Linked DNA regions of Drosophila melanogaster. The protein of the gene in region 2 interacts with the protein of the main gene of each other region in a pairwise test. Each region holds a gene or a part of one and is shown on either strand. Other genes may lie near its edges. The genes, in order: LKRSDH and Cpr47Ee.

Evidence for each region.
Region 1: the proteins of Cpr47Ee (region 2) and LKRSDH interact in a two-hybrid assay, tested with the Drosophila melanogaster proteins (one large-scale study listed by BioGRID).

Annotation. Positions count from the first base shown.
Region 1 is NT_033779.5:7,790,482-7,802,328, forward strand, and holds LKRSDH (lysine ketoglutarate reductase/saccharopine dehydrogenase), read right to left. Parts: upstream 5,479-11,847; 5' UTR 5,354-5,478; coding exon 5,294-5,353; intron 5,173-5,293; coding exon 5,029-5,172; intron 4,288-5,028; coding exon 4,111-4,287; intron 4,046-4,110; coding exon 3,667-4,045; intron 3,603-3,666; coding exon 3,028-3,602; intron 2,850-3,027; coding exon 1,694-2,849; intron 1,635-1,693; coding exon 1,458-1,634; intron 1,396-1,457; coding exon 1,277-1,395; 3' UTR 694-1,276; downstream 1-693. Other genes in the region: Herp (Homocysteine-induced endoplasmic reticulum protein), read right to left, coding at 6,449-6,845, 6,916-7,251, 7,682-8,142, 8,828-9,031; r2d2, read left to right, coding at 10,022-10,166, 10,240-11,030.
Region 2 is NT_033778.4:11,260,251-11,268,868, forward strand, and holds Cpr47Ee (cuticular protein 47Ee), read left to right. Parts: upstream 1-4,875; 5' UTR 4,876-5,065; coding exon 5,066-5,515; intron 5,516-5,860; coding exon 5,861-6,520; 3' UTR 6,521-6,606; downstream 6,607-8,618. Other genes in the region: Cpr47Ed (cuticular protein 47Ed), read right to left, coding at 1,063-1,434, 1,529-1,540; Cpr47Ef (cuticular protein 47Ef), read right to left, coding at 6,840-7,051, 7,418-7,462, 7,548-7,613, 7,737-7,769, 7,829-7,885, 7,946-7,978, 8,035-8,091, 8,149-8,289 and 3 more.

The DNA.
Region 1 (11,847 bases), on a different chromosome or scaffold from region 2:
ATATACGACCGCCCCAAAAGATGAAGAGAACACACACGTACTTTATTCCGGACGGACCGGCGTCTGAATGGGAACTGCGGACGCGGACTTATCAGGCCCGATGGCCCAGCGCTTAATTCGCGACGTCGACCGCGACTTGGGTTCCACAACAACGAATCCCAGTGCGCACCGCACACCAGTCATGCTCATTTGGCGGTTTTTTGGAATTGATCCGGGTTTCCCCAGTCCCCTCCGCCGGATGTTCTCTTCACGAACTATGAATTTTCCATGTTTCCGTTATTGCGTTTATAGCACTTAGAAAGTTTTAGAAAAAAACGTTTTTTAAAAGTAAAAATTTTCGTGTATTATTAAAGTGGAATCTAGCAAATTTCATGCAGAGAACAATTTCCCAATCCTCAAATCAGACCCCAGATAAGAAACATCTTTAAAAGAAAACCTTTTACTTACCGCAGAAGTAAATGTACATTACTTGTTTAACTACGTGTAATTGGCATCACTAGCCCGCACAATCTTATCTGCAAAAAAGATTGTGTGTGTGCTTTGCATTGAATGAATGTGAATTAAAATTTGTAAAACGCGAGATTGCGCGCTCCCACTCCATGGGCAACTAAATTGCTGCCCGGCAGAGAGGTTATCAGTCTCGGGCTCCACATTTTCCACAGTAATTCCAGGGAGATGTGTGGCCTGTTTGTTGTTTATTACAATTATAAACGTTAATGACCGCCTCGCAAACGGATCCAATCGGATCACCAAAGATGTTTTATGCCGCACTAAATATAGATTGAAATCGGGTTTCTTCATTTAAAATTAGTTCAAGTTCGGATGATAACCCTTCGCAGATCGGGTTGCCAGGCGCTACAGGGACAATCGAACGGAAATCGAATCTTAAAGATTAAATCGCACGGAAAATTGGAATACACGTTTATGATCATAATCAATGTTGTATATTCCAGGCCTTCTATATCTTTAAATACAATCCACTTATACAGTATTATTATTTTCCATAAATATTTAATCACTTACAATCAGGCTCGTAGTGAATTCACGTTAAGGAAACATGTTTCACAATTTGGACAACGACTTCAACTTGTTTACGTACGTCAAGTAGCTCTAGTTATAAAACTTATTTCAGTATTATGATAACGTAATGACACTCTTATCAAACAACGAAATACCCGAGCGATAAAACAAGAAGTATCACCCGACGCGGTGGGCAGTCAAAAAAGTAATATTAATGAAGACTTAAGCCTATTTTCTCGGGATCAGTTAAGATCACTTAATTTAGCCATCTGGAGGTTTCCGTGGCAGTCAGACCCTCGGAGCGCAGACGTTGCAGCATGGGACGATAAATGTCGGGAGTGAAGGGCAGCAGGACGCCGCGTTCCTGGATCTCACCTGAAATGGGATGATTTGGAATTATTTAAACGGCTTTTAAGAGTACTGATAAGGGAACCCACCGTCTAGGATCATTTTGGCTGCGATGGCAGCCGGCTTGCCCACAGTCATCGCCATGGCGGAGTGACCCTGGGGCTGTCCGTAGACCACAAAATTGATTCCACGCTCCTCACGACGACCATCGGGCCAACGGATGCCAACTTCATGGCGCAGCACCACCAGGTCGCGTTCATCCCGCTCTGTAAATGAATAGTATGATTAATTATAAAATCAGTTTAGAATTAAATGGTTAACCCACCGAAGGCAAGTCTCTTCGAGAGATAGTGACTAAGCGTATCCAGCGGAGTGTTGAGCTTCACCACAGGAGTATCATCCAGCAGACCCAAGCTCTCGATGCCGTCCACATCTCCAATGCGCTCAGTCAGCTTCTGCTTGAGGTTCTCGTAGAAGATGGTCGAGTCCGACATGCCCATTAGATGGATCACCAGCTGGCGCCACGTGACATCCGGCCCACTGGGATGTAGCAATGCATGTGGCTCCGGATCGATAAGTCCCAAGAGCTGCATAGGCTTAATCGATTCCGAAAAGCCCTTATAACGTATGGTTCCACGAAGCAAAGTGTGCACATCCCTGCCTAAGCCGTAAAGGTTGCCGTATTTGGTGGAATCCCTGTTGGGGAAACCCTCCAGGGCGAATCCTGGCAGGAAATCCAAGCTGCGAGGACTTGACATGAGTTCCCCACCTCCAGAAATCTCCACAATTTGTCCCTGACTCAGATATTTTGCAGCGGAAAGTGTGTTGAGAAGTACTCCCCTGGGTGACCAAGAGAACTTATATCTTAGGGCATTATTGGAATGCTCCGGTGCAGGCAGACCGCCACAATAGCTCACGAAGGACTCGACAACTGCTCCCTTGTCCTGCACCTCGTGGATGCACTCCAGTGCCAGAAGGTGATCGATACCAGGATCCAAGCCCACCTCGTTCATGATGGTCACACCCTTGGCCTTGGCCTCCTCGTGCAAACCGGAGATCTCGTCGTTCAGATAACTTGCGGTAACCATGTGGGTGCCCTCTGCCACGCAATAACGTGCCACCATGCCATGGAGACTGTAGGGCAGCAGGGAAACTACTACATCTGCCCTGCCGCACAGCTCCTGCAGATGACCAGTGCTCTCGTTCACATCCAGATAGACGCTGTCCACTCCAGCATACTGCTGAGCCAGGCGATCGGCTTCCTCCTTGACCTGCGAGCAAACCGTTATGCTGACGTCCTTTTCGCGATGAAGCCACTCTACGAGTGGAGCGGACACCATGCCAGCTCCCAGAACCAAGACCTTCTTGTCAGACTCCGAACTTCCCTCCATCTTGTGGCGCGATCTGTGGCTTTGCGACTCTCGGAGCTCCTGAATATACTGGAAGCCCTCCGTCAGCTGACCGTTGCTGGCGATAATAGCCTGAAAACGAGCAAAGAGAAACGGAATTTATTAGCTGATAACAGATGCTGATAACAAGGCATGATGCACATTGGTTTAGGTTAAGAAAACAACTCTTCAAAGCGTAAGTTACAATATAAATCATTAACTTTAGGTAAATTTATAAATGTAATATAAAGGTAAGGCAAAGTGAACTCACCGACTGAATGGGGTATGAGAAGTTCTCCTCTGCCAACGGCTTCTTGGCATCGCTCTTTATAATATCATGAACATGAGGAGCCAACAGCTCTCCAAACAAATCCGTCGATTCTCTGGGCAATTGTGTAGGCATATTATCAATCGAACAGACTAAAACTCCGGGTCCCTTAAAGCTCTTGGTATCCTTATTCCTGTCCGCATCGTACAAGCAGAATGGAGTGTCGATGGTGGTGCACTCGTTCATAAACTCAATGGAGCCACCGGGATCAGCGGAAATGTCGCAAATGGCCAGCATGCGATGTGGCAAAGCCGGACTACCCTTGCTCGTCGGCAGCCAGGGAGTGTTTGCCGGACGTAGCAGATTCTTGGCATCCGGAATGCTGATCAACTTGGGACTGCCTACGGCCCAGTAGATGCCGTTAACAATAACCGATGCGTACGGAGCTATCTTCGTGCTAAAGGTGGAGATGTATCGTTCGGGGAACTCATCGTATTCCTTGGCATCAAATCCGCCGCCCTCACGACGCTCCAGATGATCCGATCGGCTCACCTCGCAGCCGTAAAGCTTATTTTGATCTAACGTTAAATACAAATTGTAGTTCATTCAGAATTAACTAATGCAGGATTCCACTTGACTCACTTCCATGTTCGGCCACCTTGCGTAGCATCTCCGGTGGAACATACTCAATGGGCAGCTCGGAGAACACCTCCTGGGCACCTTGGGAAACATTTCCAGAGCCAGTGAACACAAATGTAAGTGGTCCAATGGACTTGGGCATCATGCCAAGCGAGATCTCGTAGCCACAATCCCGGATTGCCTGGCGAGCCATCGAGGAATTGCGATAGTTATGAGCGGGTCCAATGTGCATGAATGGTGTATGATGTCCCAGGGCCAAAAGACGCAGTCCAATGCCGTGCAGGATGTTCACCATGCCAGCCACTCCGGCATATTTGCCAAAGGCCACCTGTCGTGCTCCGCGTTCGTCGATGATTCGCTCATAGTCGATGAGCCGAATTTTCTATGGATAAAACAGTGGCAATATAATATGAAAAACTTCATTTAACTCTTATGTGTGATAGGAACCTTCTCCAAAATAGCATCCAAAAGCGGCATATTTGATTCCTGCGCTTTAATCGTGTGCGAAAAGAAGCAGTAGGTCTTCCCAGGAATCAGTGCATCTATGGGCACCTGTTTCACTCCGAATATCACCGAAGCATCACTGATGTCCTCCTGAATATGAGCTCCAGCCTGCATGTAGGCCTGTTCCGGAAAAACAAATCAACTCAATGTTATTATTTGTTTTTATTTAGTTAAGTGCCCCGCTTATCTATTCTATTCATCCTGCTACGTGGTAATCTTTACAATGCATCAGGCGAAAGATGATGATTGTACTATACACGTGTGAAACATTTAATCCCCTTGCCCCTCAACTTAATTAAATCTGATTAGGTTTTCTAATTTTTTCCAGTACCATTTGCTAATCGTTTTGTAATTGCATTTACTGTTGGGGTGTGTCAGTGGGGTACTTTAAATTAAGTGCTTTACCTTCTTCAAAAATTATTTTAGTTAGTTTAGTTCTTTCTCACGTGACCCTTTGAAAATGTTATCAACTCTAAAAATCACCTTAATACATTATATAGATTCCTTGAAATCATTGCTGCAAACGATAAGCTTTGCTTCCCATTGTTTTTCCTCTCCTCGTCGTTTGTTTTGTACTCGATTTCAAGGCCGGGCCAATTGCCAAATTTAGAGCTCCATGGAGGCTTATCATCCGAGTTTATATTTATGATGCAGCACTTGGGGGGCGTGTGTGCCTCCATACCATATAAATACCATACTATGCTACCTATACACGCGTACTTGTTGCCCTGACGACTACCGACCGATATGATTTCCATGGGCGATTAGCCCTGCAGACTCAATAAATCCGTTGCCAACTGGCCATGGAAAGTTACAACCTATGGATAATGTGACGAAATTTTAATTTCAAATTGAGCTCACCTGCATGGGGTAGGCACGACGATTGGACGGCTGCACTATGACCTTGACATTCTGCTTGACCAACTTCTGGACGTGGGTTGGTCCAAACGGAGCTCGTCGCTCCCACACCGACTGATCCTCTCGCCGAATGGCAATCACTCGACTCTGAAAGAGCAAAAGATTGGGATATTTATTTAGTATATATATTTTAAAAATTAATATCTTTTACATTCGTATGAATGCGATTATTCAATGTGGCTGCAATTGGGGAGTTGAATCAACTCACATGACGTTGTCTGGTGAACGGATGCGCGATTGTTGCGCGCAGTTGAATCACTCGCCACATGTTTCGGCAGCTTTGTGGGATCAGTTCGAGCAGATGAAGTGCGAATTTAATTGTAACCGTTGTGCTTATTCTTGGCCTGAGTGGAATGATCCGATCCGTTGGCTCCGAGCTCTGGTACTCTTCTAAAGGCATCGATGGAGGCAGTCAGCGAAACAGCCTCTAATCAGCAGTTGGACCCAGTCGTAAATCCAGCGATAAGCCGTGCTCTCCATGCATCTCATCGCAGCTAAAAGAAACCAATTTTGTGCGTTAGCTGGGCAAAAAGAGCGAGCTGCTGGTGATTGTCACTTACCCGTGAGGGAATCCGGATCTCCGTTCGATTTTCGGCTGAAAATTTTCCACTTTGATAAGAGAAGTTTCTAAGAATTAAGAGAATCGTCCGGGGAAAATTCCTCAAGCGCTGTTTACACAATGCAATTCTTATACAAATTTTCGGGAAAAAACCGATTATTTCCTTATTGAATCATTCAAAATTGTTTAAAATAATAACATTTTAAATTTTAAAAATATATTTTTTAATAGTCAATATGTGTCTATGCATATGTTCATATGTCTATATGTTATTAAATTAAAGATTCTTTTAAGATTTTAAAAACAATGCCAATGATGTTGAAAACATTTAAAAACAGTATGTTCTTCATTTAAATCGTAGATATATTTTTTATAGATAAAATTGCACCTTGTAAACACCACTTTTCGATTTCGGTTTTTGGTGTTAAAGCATACGTTTTATTTTAATTGCATCTTGGTTTCATAGGTTCGTCTCTAGCACAGATTGCAGTGCAGATTATAAACATTCTACTATTCACATCAAAAACAGAGTACGTTCTTAGATATCTAAAATTCTACGAGCTATTGAGGCAGCAGTCACCATGTTGTAACTTGGCTAACACTCGGAAATAAATATACATGATTATTACAGCTAGTAAAACAAATTGTTTGTTTTTGCTACATTCTCAGGTATGCACAAAACTCAAAAGGAAAACGGAATAACAGTTTGATTATGGGAGTTTTAAAAGAGGAAAGCCGTAAAGCTGTAAAGCTGGTTTGTGGATGGTCAAACACGTCCCTCTGTATAACGTACAGTTCGATCCTCTAGAGCGCCGGCGCCTCGGGCAGCAGCGAGGTGAAGAACGTGATGACAAAGGTGCGCACAACGGAAATCACAGAATTATTGGCATTTGGTGGTTCCACAGCTTCCGCGGAAACGTCAGTCGGTTCTGGATTAGCAGCGGATGCTGGAGCAACGGGAGCCCCAGCCGGAGGTGCATCGATTGCATCTTGTTCACCAGCAGCAGCAGGTCCAGCCGCTGGCACTGCACCAGGCTCATTGGCCGCCTGGGGATCGTTGTTCTCCCGCTGCACGGCCGCATCCATCATGCGCTGAATTTGCTGCACTGCAGCAAAGGCGGCCGCATCGCCAGCATTATTGTTACGATTTATGTTGTTATTGTTCCGCTCGCGGCGACGTCGAAGGACACCAATGTGATATCTAACAAACAATTATAATTTCAATATATGTGTAAACTTTTCAATTCGAATCAAAGAGGAAATGTACTTACAGATAAATCGCACCCGCGATGAGCACCACCAGTAAACAACGCAGCGCTGAGGAGTTAAAGTACAGGACAGTCACAAAAATGGCCAATCGCGTAAAGCTAAAGAAACTATCCAGCCAGTCGTGCATTTCCGGTTCCTCCTGAATGTTGGGAAAATTTCTGTTCTGCGGCGCTCCATTAATCTGAGGATCAGCAGGTACCTGTGCCGCTGGGGCAGCAGCTGCTCCTGCCACTTGTTGTACCTCCCCGAAGTTTCGCCCAGCAATCAGTGGGACTGAGGGCAACAGGGGTTGAGTCGGTGGCGGCAAGCCAGATTGGTTCGAACCGGGCAACGTAGAACTGTGGGTATAATATAAGATTGTTGTGTAAGAATCATAGCATTCAATATTATAGAAAATAATTGTTCGTTTACATGCAAAACTTAATTGCGCACAATAAATTCTTCGGGAGCGACCCCAAAATTATATTATTTAACTGTAATCGTGGCCATACAAGTATACTACAATTTTAGCACGCCTGATAACCAAAATAATAAAAAGATTATAAATAATCAAGAAACAACTTTAAAAATGCTAAAACAGCATTTTGATCTCACTTGAATAATAAAGTACCTCTTAAGAGTGACTAAATACAAGTGTTTCTCCTTCTGAGAAAAATAAAATGTATTCGCTATCGAGCTCTGTGTAATTTGATTCGCTCGCTTCTGATATCAGTGAATTAATTGTTGGATCAAGTGTGTTCCTTTAGCCTTCTGGTTCTGTTCACTTACCGTAGAGTCAACTGCTGCATGTACTGCGCGTAAGCCTGCTGCATCCAGGCGTTGTAGATGAGCGCCTGCTGCTGGAACAAAGCATGGGGACTGGCACTGGCATTGGCAGCAGGTGCTGCTCCCTGGCTCTGCTGCCAGAAGTGTGTCCAGGGATTGGCCAAACCGATGTCACCCGTCACGTGTGGTCCAGCGTTGCCCTGCTGTGCCTGCTGCTGATGTGGAGCATGACGTTGTCGCAGCTCATTTGCATTCCCAGTGACCTCGGGCCCAGCTGGAACCGCATCCTTCTGCGGAACAGTGGGGGCTTTGGCAGCCGGCCTTATCACTTGCTTGCTGGCACACACCAAGTGAAATATGTGGTGCTGTTGGTAGACATCCTTGTAGCTGCGTATCACCTCAGATATCTTTTGGGAGTCATCTAATAGCTTGCCCGAGTAAATAAGTTTCTGGTCCTGGATTAACTACAGAAAAAATGGAAAGAAATAGTTATAGTGGTCAAAACATAAAACATAAAATTTCACATTATAGGTATTCAGAGGGAACCTAGAGATAACTCATTGTTGCTTTTACCTCCGCGCGAAATTTATACTATCAAACAGTGCCTAAATCTATTTATTTGCACACTCCAAGAGATAACAACTTGTACTTGTCAGTTGACTTTATGGAAATGATACTTGAAACTAAATAAATTTTTATAAATTCTACTTGATTTGCTCTGGAAATAAAGAGTGCTAATGTATTTTTTCTGCCTGCAATGATCTGAATCTTTAGTATATATCAGTGATATTGATATGTGGGATGTACATATGTACATAAAAAACTTGGCACATGAGTGGAGCGTGAATATGTCCAAAAATCTTATCACTTTCTAACCGTAACCAAATTAATCCCAGTTCCCAGTTCCGACCCATCGATTTGGCATAGACCAAGTGCATGACGCAAGTGCATGACGGCGACTATAATTTAGAGGAGCAATCCACTGACGTGTACTTGCGACTAAGACGCAAATAGCTTTGGGAACCGACACACCTATGAATCCTAAACGAAGATGATAAACAATAACAAACTTCTCGATAAGATAATGGGGCTCCTGGCCAGTTTTCTACCTATACGATAACAAGGGGGGGAACCAACTCGATAACCCACCGGTTTGCCAGGATAGATAAGAGATAGGTGCTTCTTCAGCCTCTGGACCGTCCAGCAGAGATCGGAGTCCACATTGAGATCCTCATACTGCTGGTTGGACGACTTGATGAGCAGCCGGACACTGGTTTCCGGATTCTTTTGACGGGTGGCGGCATCGCAGCCCGCGGCTGTTGCGGCTGCGGGTGGGGCGGCGTTCTCCTCCATCTGGCTGACCCCGCGAATCGGAGAACTTTCTATTGCTAATTAATGACCGCGATACGAAGATCGGTGATGGGTTTTTGCTGCGCTAGCGGGGACACTTTTTACGCAGCCACTGTTTCTCACTTCCTACTCCGCTCTGCTCTCTGCGTATTTTCGAGAAATAGTTTATTCTGAATTTGACATTTAATTTGGTATTATGCTATTGTTTGGTTTTCAACAGCTGTTCGTTCTGTGGTGTTTTGCTCGCAGCACAGAGTTATTGATTATGAAACGCAGTAAACGTTCCGCAGTTGATCAAAAACTACTCTTCATTTGGTTCTGACCTGTGGCAAGTGATGAGCGTCGGTCACAGGGCTGCCGCGAGTAGCAGGTATTTTTAAGTCGCAGGTTGCACAAACAGCTGAGAATTGATTTTCCAAAGTGTGTGGGATGTGGCAATTTAAGTACACAGTTGGAAAATATTAAAGTCGTTGCTCAAACACTTGGTTTTAGTGTTTTTAGAATTTATTCCTTTGAAAAATATACGGTATCTAGTTATTTGCAGTTGTGGATTTTGCTCATCACTGACAGCAACACTTGTTAATGCCATATACTACGCAACAGGGTTGCCTTGACTTACGGGGATGCCAACTCGCGTCATCGTGACGTGTCGATTATGTATAACACTTCAGACGTTGAACTTTGAATGAAAACACCGAATAGCATATAAAATGCATTTGCTCCTTAGTAAAAAAGTTAAGAAGGTTTGCCGCTGTTTTCGTATTCGAATTACGAATTCAATACTATTTCGTGAAAATATTTTTTTGACAAAGCGGCATAAAATAATTCATTTACAGATGTCTTCGTCAAGATTTCCTATTCTATCGTTGCCGCTTCGTGATTCGCGTGCCATCTCTAATAACATTGCAGTGCTTTAGATATTTTATAAATTATATATATGGTTATATTCTGTTGAATGTTAGCACGTCCGACGTGCCTTTTCCCCTTGAACTCATGGATAACAAGTCAGCCGTATCTGCTCTACAGGAGTTTTGTGCCCGGACACAGATTAATCTACCAACATACAGTTTTATTCCCGGCGAAGACGGAGGGTACGTCTGTAAAGTTGAACTATTGGAGATAGAGGCCCTTGGAAATGGTAAATTTAAATTACAAATCTCAACCACTATTTATATTCGTATCTAAACCGCCACATATTTATCCAATTCTAGGGCGTTCGAAGCGTGATGCCAAACACCTGGCTGCCAGCAATATCTTGCGTAAAATCCAACTGCTGCCCGGCATACACGGCTTGATGAAGGATTCGACTGTGGGTGATCTGGATGAGGAACTGACTAACCTCAACCGGGACATGGTGAAGGAGCTGCGTGACTACTGCGTCCGCCGCGAGATGCCACTGCCCTGCATTGAGGTAGTGCAGCAAAGCGGCACCCCGAGCGCCCCGGAATTCGTGGCCTGTTGCTCCGTGGCCTCCATAGTACGCTACGGAAAGTCGGACAAAAAGAAGGATGCCCGTCAGCGAGCGGCCATTGAAATGCTGGCCTTAATCTCCAGCAATTCGGACAATTTGCGTCCGGATCAAATGCAAGTAGCGAGCACAAGCAAATTGAAAGTTGTTGATATGGAAGAATCTATGGAGGAATTGGAGGCATTGCGCAGAAAGAAATTTACCACCTACTGGGAGTTGAAGGAAGCCGGGAGCGTAGACCATACAGGCATGCGGCTCTGCGACCGACACAACTACTTCAAGAACTTCTATCCTACCCTGAAAAAGGAGGCCATTGAGGCCATCAATTCAGATGAATACGAGAGCTCCAAGGATAAGGCTATGGACGTAATGAGCTCTTTAAAGATAACACCCAAAATCAGTGAAGTGGAATCTTCATCGTTGGTTCCCTTGCTTAGCGTCGAGCTTAATTGTGCATTCGACGTGGTCCTTATGGCAAAGGAGACCGATATCTACGACCATATAATAGACTATTTTCGCACCATGTTGATTTAATGCGTATAACATTTATTCAACTATTCTAGCTTAAAACTAAGTAAACTCGTTTTATTTACACTCTAGAATGCACATATTTCATTTAATCTTACGATTAATACAATCTCCACCAATTTGTAGGTGGGAAACATAAAAAAATTATTTTCAAGGTCTTTTAGTAAACATCTATGTTAACTTTGTACACGATTGAGATAGGTGTAAAAAATCCAAGGAAATAAGTAAGGGGAGTGGGTACAACAACTTTTACTTTCGAGAAGGTATAACATAATGATATTATTAATTACTTTTCGATGCCAATACCAATGTTAATTCTATTAAAATGTAAAGTATTTATACGGTCCGAACTTATTGTTTGCAACAACTGATTATAAAATATTTGAAGCAATTTACATAAATATGTATTGCACAGTGAAATTAAAAATCTGAACATTTGCCTTTAAAAGGAATGCTAGTAATCAAAGACTTACTTGAAACAAATATTTTAAATAATTTGACGGAAAAAAATGGTAAAAATGCTGCATTTCTTTTTTTTTTTACAAGTACAACTTTTATACGAATAAAAGGGGTTTCAGTCTAAAATAAATAAAGTGCTTCGTAGTCTTCAGCATTTTTGATTTTATTTTTACAACACAATGCTAAAATGAAAACTAAGCGTTCCTCTTAAAAACTTTCAACAATGTATTAACAATTTCAATGTCAATTGCTTGCCTTTTAATGGGTTATCTTATATTAGTACAATATGTTAAATAACAAATCCATAACAATTTGAAATGTTTTCCTAAAAAAAAATGTAAGTGTATAAATGAGATTGTTATTG
Region 2 (8,618 bases):
ACCCACTCGCCAGGTGTCGCGATTAATCAGTCGCACCTCGCACTTTACACCACAATCTACTCCACACCAATCCCAGAAATGTGTAAAATGTCAGCTTTAATGCAATTTATACTAGGGGTGTAGCCCCTGGCCCAGGGCGAATATCTAGCTATCTATCTATCTATCTATCTGACTATATACCCATATCTATAACTATCGAGCGAACATCTTCTGCTGACAAATGGCTCGATTCAGAATCGCGATGGGGTGCATCAGCAATTTCATTTAAATTTCATTCATTTGCGGCGCCATTAATTCAATCATCGGTAGTTCCGTGGCAAACGATACTAACGATCGTGTTTGATTTTTTTTTCGTTACGTACTTCATGGGGTGATAAATACTAATTCATTTCTTGCACCCAACGACATTTGCCTGGGATCTGGCAAAAGGGCAATCGGTGCTGCTGCCACAATTTATAACTTTGACGGCTTAACTAATTTCAAAAATCGATCGCAAATTAAATATCCTAGCGATGAGCAAGCGATTTCAAATACAGCCGCTGGATGCCGCACACAAAGAAAAATATATTCAATAAAATAATACATAATGCGAAACTAGTTTTTGTAAGTATCTACTTTTTTTCAGATATGAAAAAAGGTATCTTAAATGACAAACATGTAATCTGCGCGTTTTGAACTTAAGAGCAGAGCTACATAAATGTACATACATATATTGAAAATAAAAAAATAAAATGCCAAATTTTTTTTTTTTTTTGATATTGATTTTTTTTAATATAATCATAATACATTTTCATGTATTGTTAAAAATTGTTAAAAAAGTTGCATACTACAAAAAAACATTACAAAATCAATTTTTTTTAAATCATTTATATATATACCCGTTCTTCGATGAGGTGATTCTCGCTCGCTAAAAATTCGGATGCTTAAAGATGACTTTTATTAATTATAATAATACTAGTTTGCATATATTTTTTGCCGTGTGCCGCTCCTTGAGCCCCAAAGCCGGGCATTCGCCCCTGGATTGGCGATTGGCTTTGGTAATTGCCTGGCTGGCTAACATTTTCAAGAATGTATGCCCATCAAAGCTAATGGCTCTATGCGAATTGGTTTATAGGCTTCCCCTTTGGATATGTACCGAACGTGGGGCAGAAAGCCATTCTTGTCCGCCGTATAGCGCACCTCCACCTCCTGGCCCCAGTCGTTGATATAGCGATAAATACCGGACACCTCGAGATCGTCGTCAGATGTCTTCGAATCGGAGCTCACTATGCCCAGTTCCTCGCGATAGGTGCCATCTGCGGACTCGAACGAAAATAGGTAGGAACCCGAGCTAAGTTGTTCGGTCACCGATTTGAGGATTGGCACCGGCACGTTAATGGAAGTACACTCAGCGGGGCAACTCCACAGCAGTTGGCAGCCAGTCAAGATCAATAGCTGGAAGTTCCCAAAAGAAAAAAAGAAAAAACATGAAGAAAAATGATGTGGAGTCACTTAACGCCAGGGTATTCATGAGCCATCCGCTACTTACCAATGCGAACATGATTTATGCTAATACTAAGCGTGTAGGAAAGATTCTGCGCTTTTTATAGCAATCCGTTAGACGATAGTCCAGATACATAGATACATTTCTCCACCCAATCAGCAGACAAAAGTTATGCAATGCCAGATGCTTTTTAATTGAGGTCAGTAGAAAGTAGCGGCTCGTTGTGTCTCAGAATTTTTGGGGTTTGTTGAACCTCAGATTTGCAATTCAAATGGCGATTAAGAAGTGTGGAGAGCAGGTAAACTGTCATGTTTACACAATGCAGATAGCATCATAGGCACATGCGAATGGCGTGGGCTCTGCTCGAAAGGTGCAGCAGCTAATAAAATTTGTCACAATTGCCGGCACTGCGGCAATTTGTGGCAAGCGAAAGGTGCAGAAATGGTAACGAACGACTGCTCCACCTGACTTGACTTCTACATGCAAATTCCAGCCAGCAAACTTTGATACAGTGGGTGGGCACCTCTGGGCCTTTGAGAAGCGGCTAACATTTATGGCAAACGGCATGCTGGCAACGGCAAGACAAAAAGAATTCAATAATAATTTCCAGCAATTTCGCAACTGGGCTGCGGCAGCAGCAGCACCACATTGCGGCAGAAGTTGCATTTTGGCATTTGCCTTGGCCCGCCCAGTTCCAATTTCCAGTTCCACTTGCCAAAACGGCCAGGCTCTCGGGCAACGTGTTAATAAATTGATTCTTGGTGGCTCCCCAGTCGGTGAGTTGGTTTAAATCCCGCGGAATCAGGTATGACTGCCAGCATGCACATGGAGAAATAATTGGGGAAACAAAAAGTCTAAAAAGGATTACAACAGATTTTATTTCCATTTTAAAATAAATTCAACAACTTTTTCTACATATATTTTTCTCTTGTACAGTTAGGTGCGCTTCGTCACTACGCGCCATTCACTGTTATGGAAAACCGAAAAATAATTAGATTTTCATGAATTTGTACGTGACACAATGACTGTAAATCTTATTAGCTTATTTTTATAAGAATTTAAGGGCCGAAAGGACCCTACTCTATTTTTTTCGAGTGTCTCTTTGCAAAGCGGCATTTGACGCGCCTGCCACAGAAGTGGAAACTTATTAATGAAGCAGCCGCAATGCCGACGAGGTCATAATTCAGAGCTGCGACACTCTAACCTTTAGCCAAGATCTGCCAGCCGGAACCTGAAGATCCGCAGTCGCAATTTTGTTGCAGTCGCACTACGCACTGCCACAAAGTGAATCAATTAGCTCCGCTGGCGGCCATAATTTCTAACTAATGCAATTCGCAATTGCAAAATGTCAGGCCCACTCAACAAAGTATGAAACATCTAAACCATCTCGAAGCGGTGCAACTTTCTGGCTGCCATCTATTAATAACCGTCGCCTTTGCTGTCCGACTTTCAGTTGGATTTGGATTTGGATTTGGGGCTAAGGCCTATGGCTCATAGACATGGCTCAGTCGCAGTTGGAGTCGTGGGAGGAGTGTCCGACCTGTCTTTAATGCGGTTTGCTCATCGGCCAACAACCACATTGTGTTGGCTTGTACTATGCGCTTGTTGTGTCTCGCATTTCTGCATTTTTACGAAGCTCCCCGCATCGCCTCGTTTTCCCGCATTTTGAAGCTTTGTTTTATGGCTATTTATACCCCAAGTTTGCGAATTATTCAAATGGCAAATCAATCAGGCAGCGATTGGCCAATATGGGCCAAAAAACATTTTATAATTAATATTGAACACATTCAATTTGATCTGCTTATTGGGTCAAAACATTTTCGAACCCTAAATCAAAGTTATTTTTAGACATATGGAAGCTGCCAAAACCTATCATTACCTTAAATAAAAAACAAGAGATGTGTAATAACCAAACTAGCAGAAAATCAAATTACATAAAAAATTCCCACGGCCGTTGATTTCACGTCGCATATATGGGCTTTAAAACAACAACACATCGGAAATGTATTGTAAAATCGATTTTTTTATATACATTATACATTGCAAATCATAAGAAATTAAAAAGTTTAAATGAACAATACCCTTTTAATTAATAATAACAAAAGGAAGATGACAAGCAGCAAAAAGTAGTTCATCGAACTGAATAACTCTCATCTTTTATATCTAAGCAATTTAGATATAATTTATAAGTAAAAATATCAATTAATTTTAAAATTAACCTGTTTGGCATGTGCTAAAATTTCCCAGCGAAGCGTATGAAAATGTCGTGAAGGGCGAAAGTGGAACCTATTTGGATTTCGAATATTTATGTAGCATATTTCGCGGCTCCGTTATTTATATTTCTTGGGTCAAAATATCTCTTCTACTTTTAGGCAGATTCTCACATTACCTAGGCACCTAAAGTTTAGTTTATTGCCACCATATCTTTATCGTTTCATAAAAAAAACGCAAATTTTTTAATTTTTTGACAGGAACCGAAATTTAGCTTTAGATTTAAATAGAAGCATAAGCTCCCAATTGAGTGGTGACCCATAACCCATAAAACGCGAGTGTTGACCTTTGTTTCGTAATGAAAAACCTCCACAGAATTAGCATATGCAATTATAGATGAAGCTGAACATGGAACAAGACATGTTCGCCTTTTAATGGCAGCTCATACTGATGACAAACGAAAATGTATCTGTCAGATACTTGGCAGTTATAAATGAGTGATGGCGACCACATCACACCTAGACATGAGCAATCCCCGTCCCATCGAGATTGATGATTAACCCCACTGGAGCGTGGAACAATGGAACACTTCGGGCACGAAAAGCTCTCAAGCTATCCTGGGGATAAGCAGTATCGCATTTGATTAGTATGCCATTTGACAAATGATGTTTGTAGGCCAAGTTGAGGTCCGATTTCCACCTTGACCAAGGGAAAATGAAGGGGCTATCCAACATACAACATAGACCACCAGCCACTGTCAGCACATAACTCAAGCAAACACCTTTGAGGCAGATGCGAAGACAAGTGCTGGAGCAAAAAGACCCAGAATTTGCATATGGGGCTGGCTCATAAACAAGTGCGCGGAAGACGACCGGTGGGCCACCATGAAGATATCAATCAGCCCAGGCCAAAGCCGAAGCCAAACGAAATTCGTTTGTCCTTCTGTCAATGGCCGATAAAAAACCAATAAAGCTGCCAGCCCAGCGGCTTGTTAACACGCAGATAAATTACACTGGCCGCCCGCGAGATTACCATCGAGATGCAGTCAGAAGCCGATAGCCAGGGCACAGGAAGCCGCCGATTGTTCTGACCATAACTGAGCTGAGCTTTAGGGCCTGACGAACCGCCGGGCCCGACGATCGAGAACCGCATAAATACGGCCGCCGGTGGGAGCCGCAATTGCAGTCGTGGCACGGCTTTCGATCAGTGACTTCCAGTGGCAGCAACGGATTTGCTTCGGTACGCGATTGAATCTCCAGCATCAGCAGTGTTTCCCAGCTCCATAAGTGAATCGTCGGGTTTATCGAGCGTGTAATTTGTGCTCCGTTCGCGAGATTTATGATCCACGGCACCTGCCCACTGACAGCCTAAATGTCTGTAGCCCGTACCCCTCGATTCCGGCACCTCCGCTGGGTGGCCTGTCTGCTGGCCAGCCTCTGGTTTTCCGTCAGCCAGGCTCAGTTGCCAGGAACCGGATTCCAGGGACAGCGTCCGCAGGTGCCTCCACTGCAGCCGCTGCAACAGCAGGCCAATCCCTTTCAGCGACGCCAGCCGAATCCCGTACAGGGTCAAGGACTGTTTCCTGGTCAAAGGAATCCACTGAACCCACTGGCACCTCCACTAACTGGAGCTGCTCTACAGAATCCCTATACCCGCTACAACCAGTACCAGCAGCAAAACTATGTGCCCATCACTGCCTACCAAAACGAACTCAATCTGGATGGAAGCTTCTCCTACGGATACTCGTCGGCCGATGGAACCACTGCCCAGGCACAGGGATACGTGAAGAACTTGGGGTATGGTGAGGGAGTTGAGGCACAGGTGGGTTTACTATTCAGATTGATTAGCAAACTTTTCAGTGATATTCTTCTAAATGATCCTATAGCATTAATTGATGGAAAATGGTGTTAAGACTTATTTGTTGATATTTACATCAGCCTTTTTTTAAGTAAATTTTTCTGTTATTTTTTAGTAGAACAAGTTTTTTAAGCTTCACATATCTATGCATAAATTCAAGTAAATTATTTTCAAAAAACCAACGATCATATTATTCAAATTGGGACATAATGCGTTGCAATCTTTTCGGCGTTGAGCTAACTATAACTAAAAAATTCGTATCATGCTTTTGGGTGCTATTTGTCAACAACTTTATTTGCCATTGAACAGGTGATTCAGGGATCCTACTCGTACACCTCACCGGAGGGCACACCCATCACAGTGCGCTACATCGCCGATGAGAACGGATTTCGAGCGGAGGGCACGGGGATTCCATCTAGCCCTCAATATTTCGCAGGTGCCCAGCCCTATCAACAGGGCTTGCTCAATCCCAATTTGAATCCATACCAGACGCCCTTCCGCCAGCTGCCACCCCCACTGCCCAACGCCCCCTTTCGTCCCCAGCTTCCAGGACAACAGCCGCTCACTCCACTGCAGCAACAGCAGCAGCAACAGCAACAACAGTTGCAACAGCAACGCGGTTTCCAGCAGCAGCAGCAGCCAAACTCCGGGCAATATCAACCGGAACAGCCGTTCAATCAGTTGCATTCCGGCAACTTACCCGGTCAGTATGCCGGACAATTTGGCCAGCAATCGTTTGGCAGCAATCTTACTGCACAACAGGCACAACAGCAGCAGAATCTCAACCAGCAACAGCAGCAGCAGCAGCAACAACAGCAGCAGCAGCAACAGCAGCAGAAGGAGCAGCAAAACGAGCAGCAGCAACAGGCCCTAATCACCCAACAACTGAGGGGCAGACCGAACAACCTGGTGGATCCATATGGCTATAATCAGTACGGCAGACGCTTCAAGAAGTCCCCAAAGAAATAACGACAAATTAATGTCATTTAAATGATTGATTAGTTTGAAGATGTAGTCGCAACTCAAAGGCATGAAATACATGCATCTGAAAAGTCAAGCAGTTTGTTTCAATTTCCGCAGCTTACGCGGCGCAAAATGATAAGCAAATATTTTATAATAATCATTTATTTCGATAGTTGCACACACACATTGTCAGAGTGGAAGAGGGAGGTAAGCTTATATAAATAAATTAATTGTTTTAGCGAAAGAACATTGAGGGCAGCCTGCACGGAAATGACGTTTCTTCGATTTGAGAGATTTGATTGGCGTTTTGGAATAAATTCTGATTTTAGTAGCTATAGCCCGTCTGAGGATTGAACTCTCCGTTTCCACGACCTCCGCCCGGCGCTCCCGGAGCAGGTGGAATGTACTGTGATCCTGTGCCGGGAACTCCTCCCGATCCTGGTCTGCCTGGCGAGCCGGGTGCTCCGCCACCAGCCGCTGGTGGAACATACTGATTGCCGGGCAATCCTGGTCCGCCTGGACGTCCACCGGCGCCTCCTAGATAAAAAATGGAAACAATCGCGATTAGAGTGGCATTAAATTTATGTAAACCCTCTTTGATTAGTTGTAATTATTTAAAGCAGTCTTTAAAATTATTATAATCTAGCGACTTCAAAGAGACCGCGTGCAAGCCGAAATGTTTTATGCATGAAAGATCGTTAGTCGATCGTGGGTAAAACAATAGACCAAGGCTTTGCCAAACAAGAATTGTCAAAATAAAAAAACTGAAATGTGTGGGAATAGCACTTGTCTAGTGTAGCTCTTCACATCATTTTCTCATGAAGATGAATGAGGCTAATTCAAGTTTTACAATTGCAATCACACAGATTGTAAAACCGGGTTTATAACTATAATGCTTCTTACCCGGTCCACCGGCACCTCCTCCATAACCTGGACCGCCTGGAGATCCTACATTAAAAAATGTAAATACCATCTATATGTTGTGACAAATTGGGAGAGTGACCTCTTCATCACAAAAACCAATGTTACTCACCGGGTCCACCGGGTGCTCCTCCAGCTCCACCGCGACCACCGCCGGCGCCAAAGCCACCACCACCTCCTAAAAAATAAATATTACTTTAATTATTATAATATTTATAACACAGTTTAACAAGTAGTCGGAAACTTGAAGAATTTCGTAAGTTTTGTGGAATGCACAGTGTACTGTTACTAAGTTACTAACCTTGGCCTCCGAATCCTCCTCCTCCGGGAGAGCCTGCGAAACACGAATGGTATGTTTTTAAAGCCACTAGGCAGATATTAAAATCGACTTACCAGGAGCTCCAGGAGCACCACCACGACCGGCGCCGCCTCCGTATCCGCCACCCCCACCTACAAGATGAAGATGTTTTACTTAAGACCTGCAACTGGAATATTGTTTTGCTAACTAACCTTGACCGCCAAATCCTCCTCCACCAGGCGATCCTATTAATTAATAATTCCTTATTTTCAGTAACAAACAATTTATGTTTTGTACTCACCTGGAGCTCCTGGGGCACCTCCACGACCACCACCTCCTCCGAATCCGCCACCACCTCCTACAAGATGAATGTATTATTCGAGGTGAATGTGCAGTAAGTTTTAAAATCCCTTACCTTGACCTCCGAATCCGCCACCACCTGGGGATCCTGGTGCTCCTGGCGCACCTGGTGCTCCACCACCACCGCGACCGCCGCCGCCTCCATAGCCGCCGCCAGCACCTCCCTGGCCACCATATCCGCCTCCGCCTGGTGATCCTGAAAATAAGCAATGTGTTATCTATTATATAAAGTGAATGAAATCATGAACTCACCGGGAGCGCCAGGAGCACCGCCGCGTCCGCCGCCACCTCCGAATCCTCCGCCTCCACCTGGAAAGTGTATATAGTTTTAACTTGAACCGCAAAGTCAGGCGGGATCACTTACCTTGACCTCCGAAACCTCCACCGCCAGGTGATCCTTTAGTTGAAGTAAGTTATTAGTTTTGAGTATCTATGGAGTAACACTTTTCGTTAACTTACCGGGAGCTCCTGGTGCTCCGCCACCGCCGCGTCCTCCGCCGCCGCCACCACCATAACCGCCGCCAG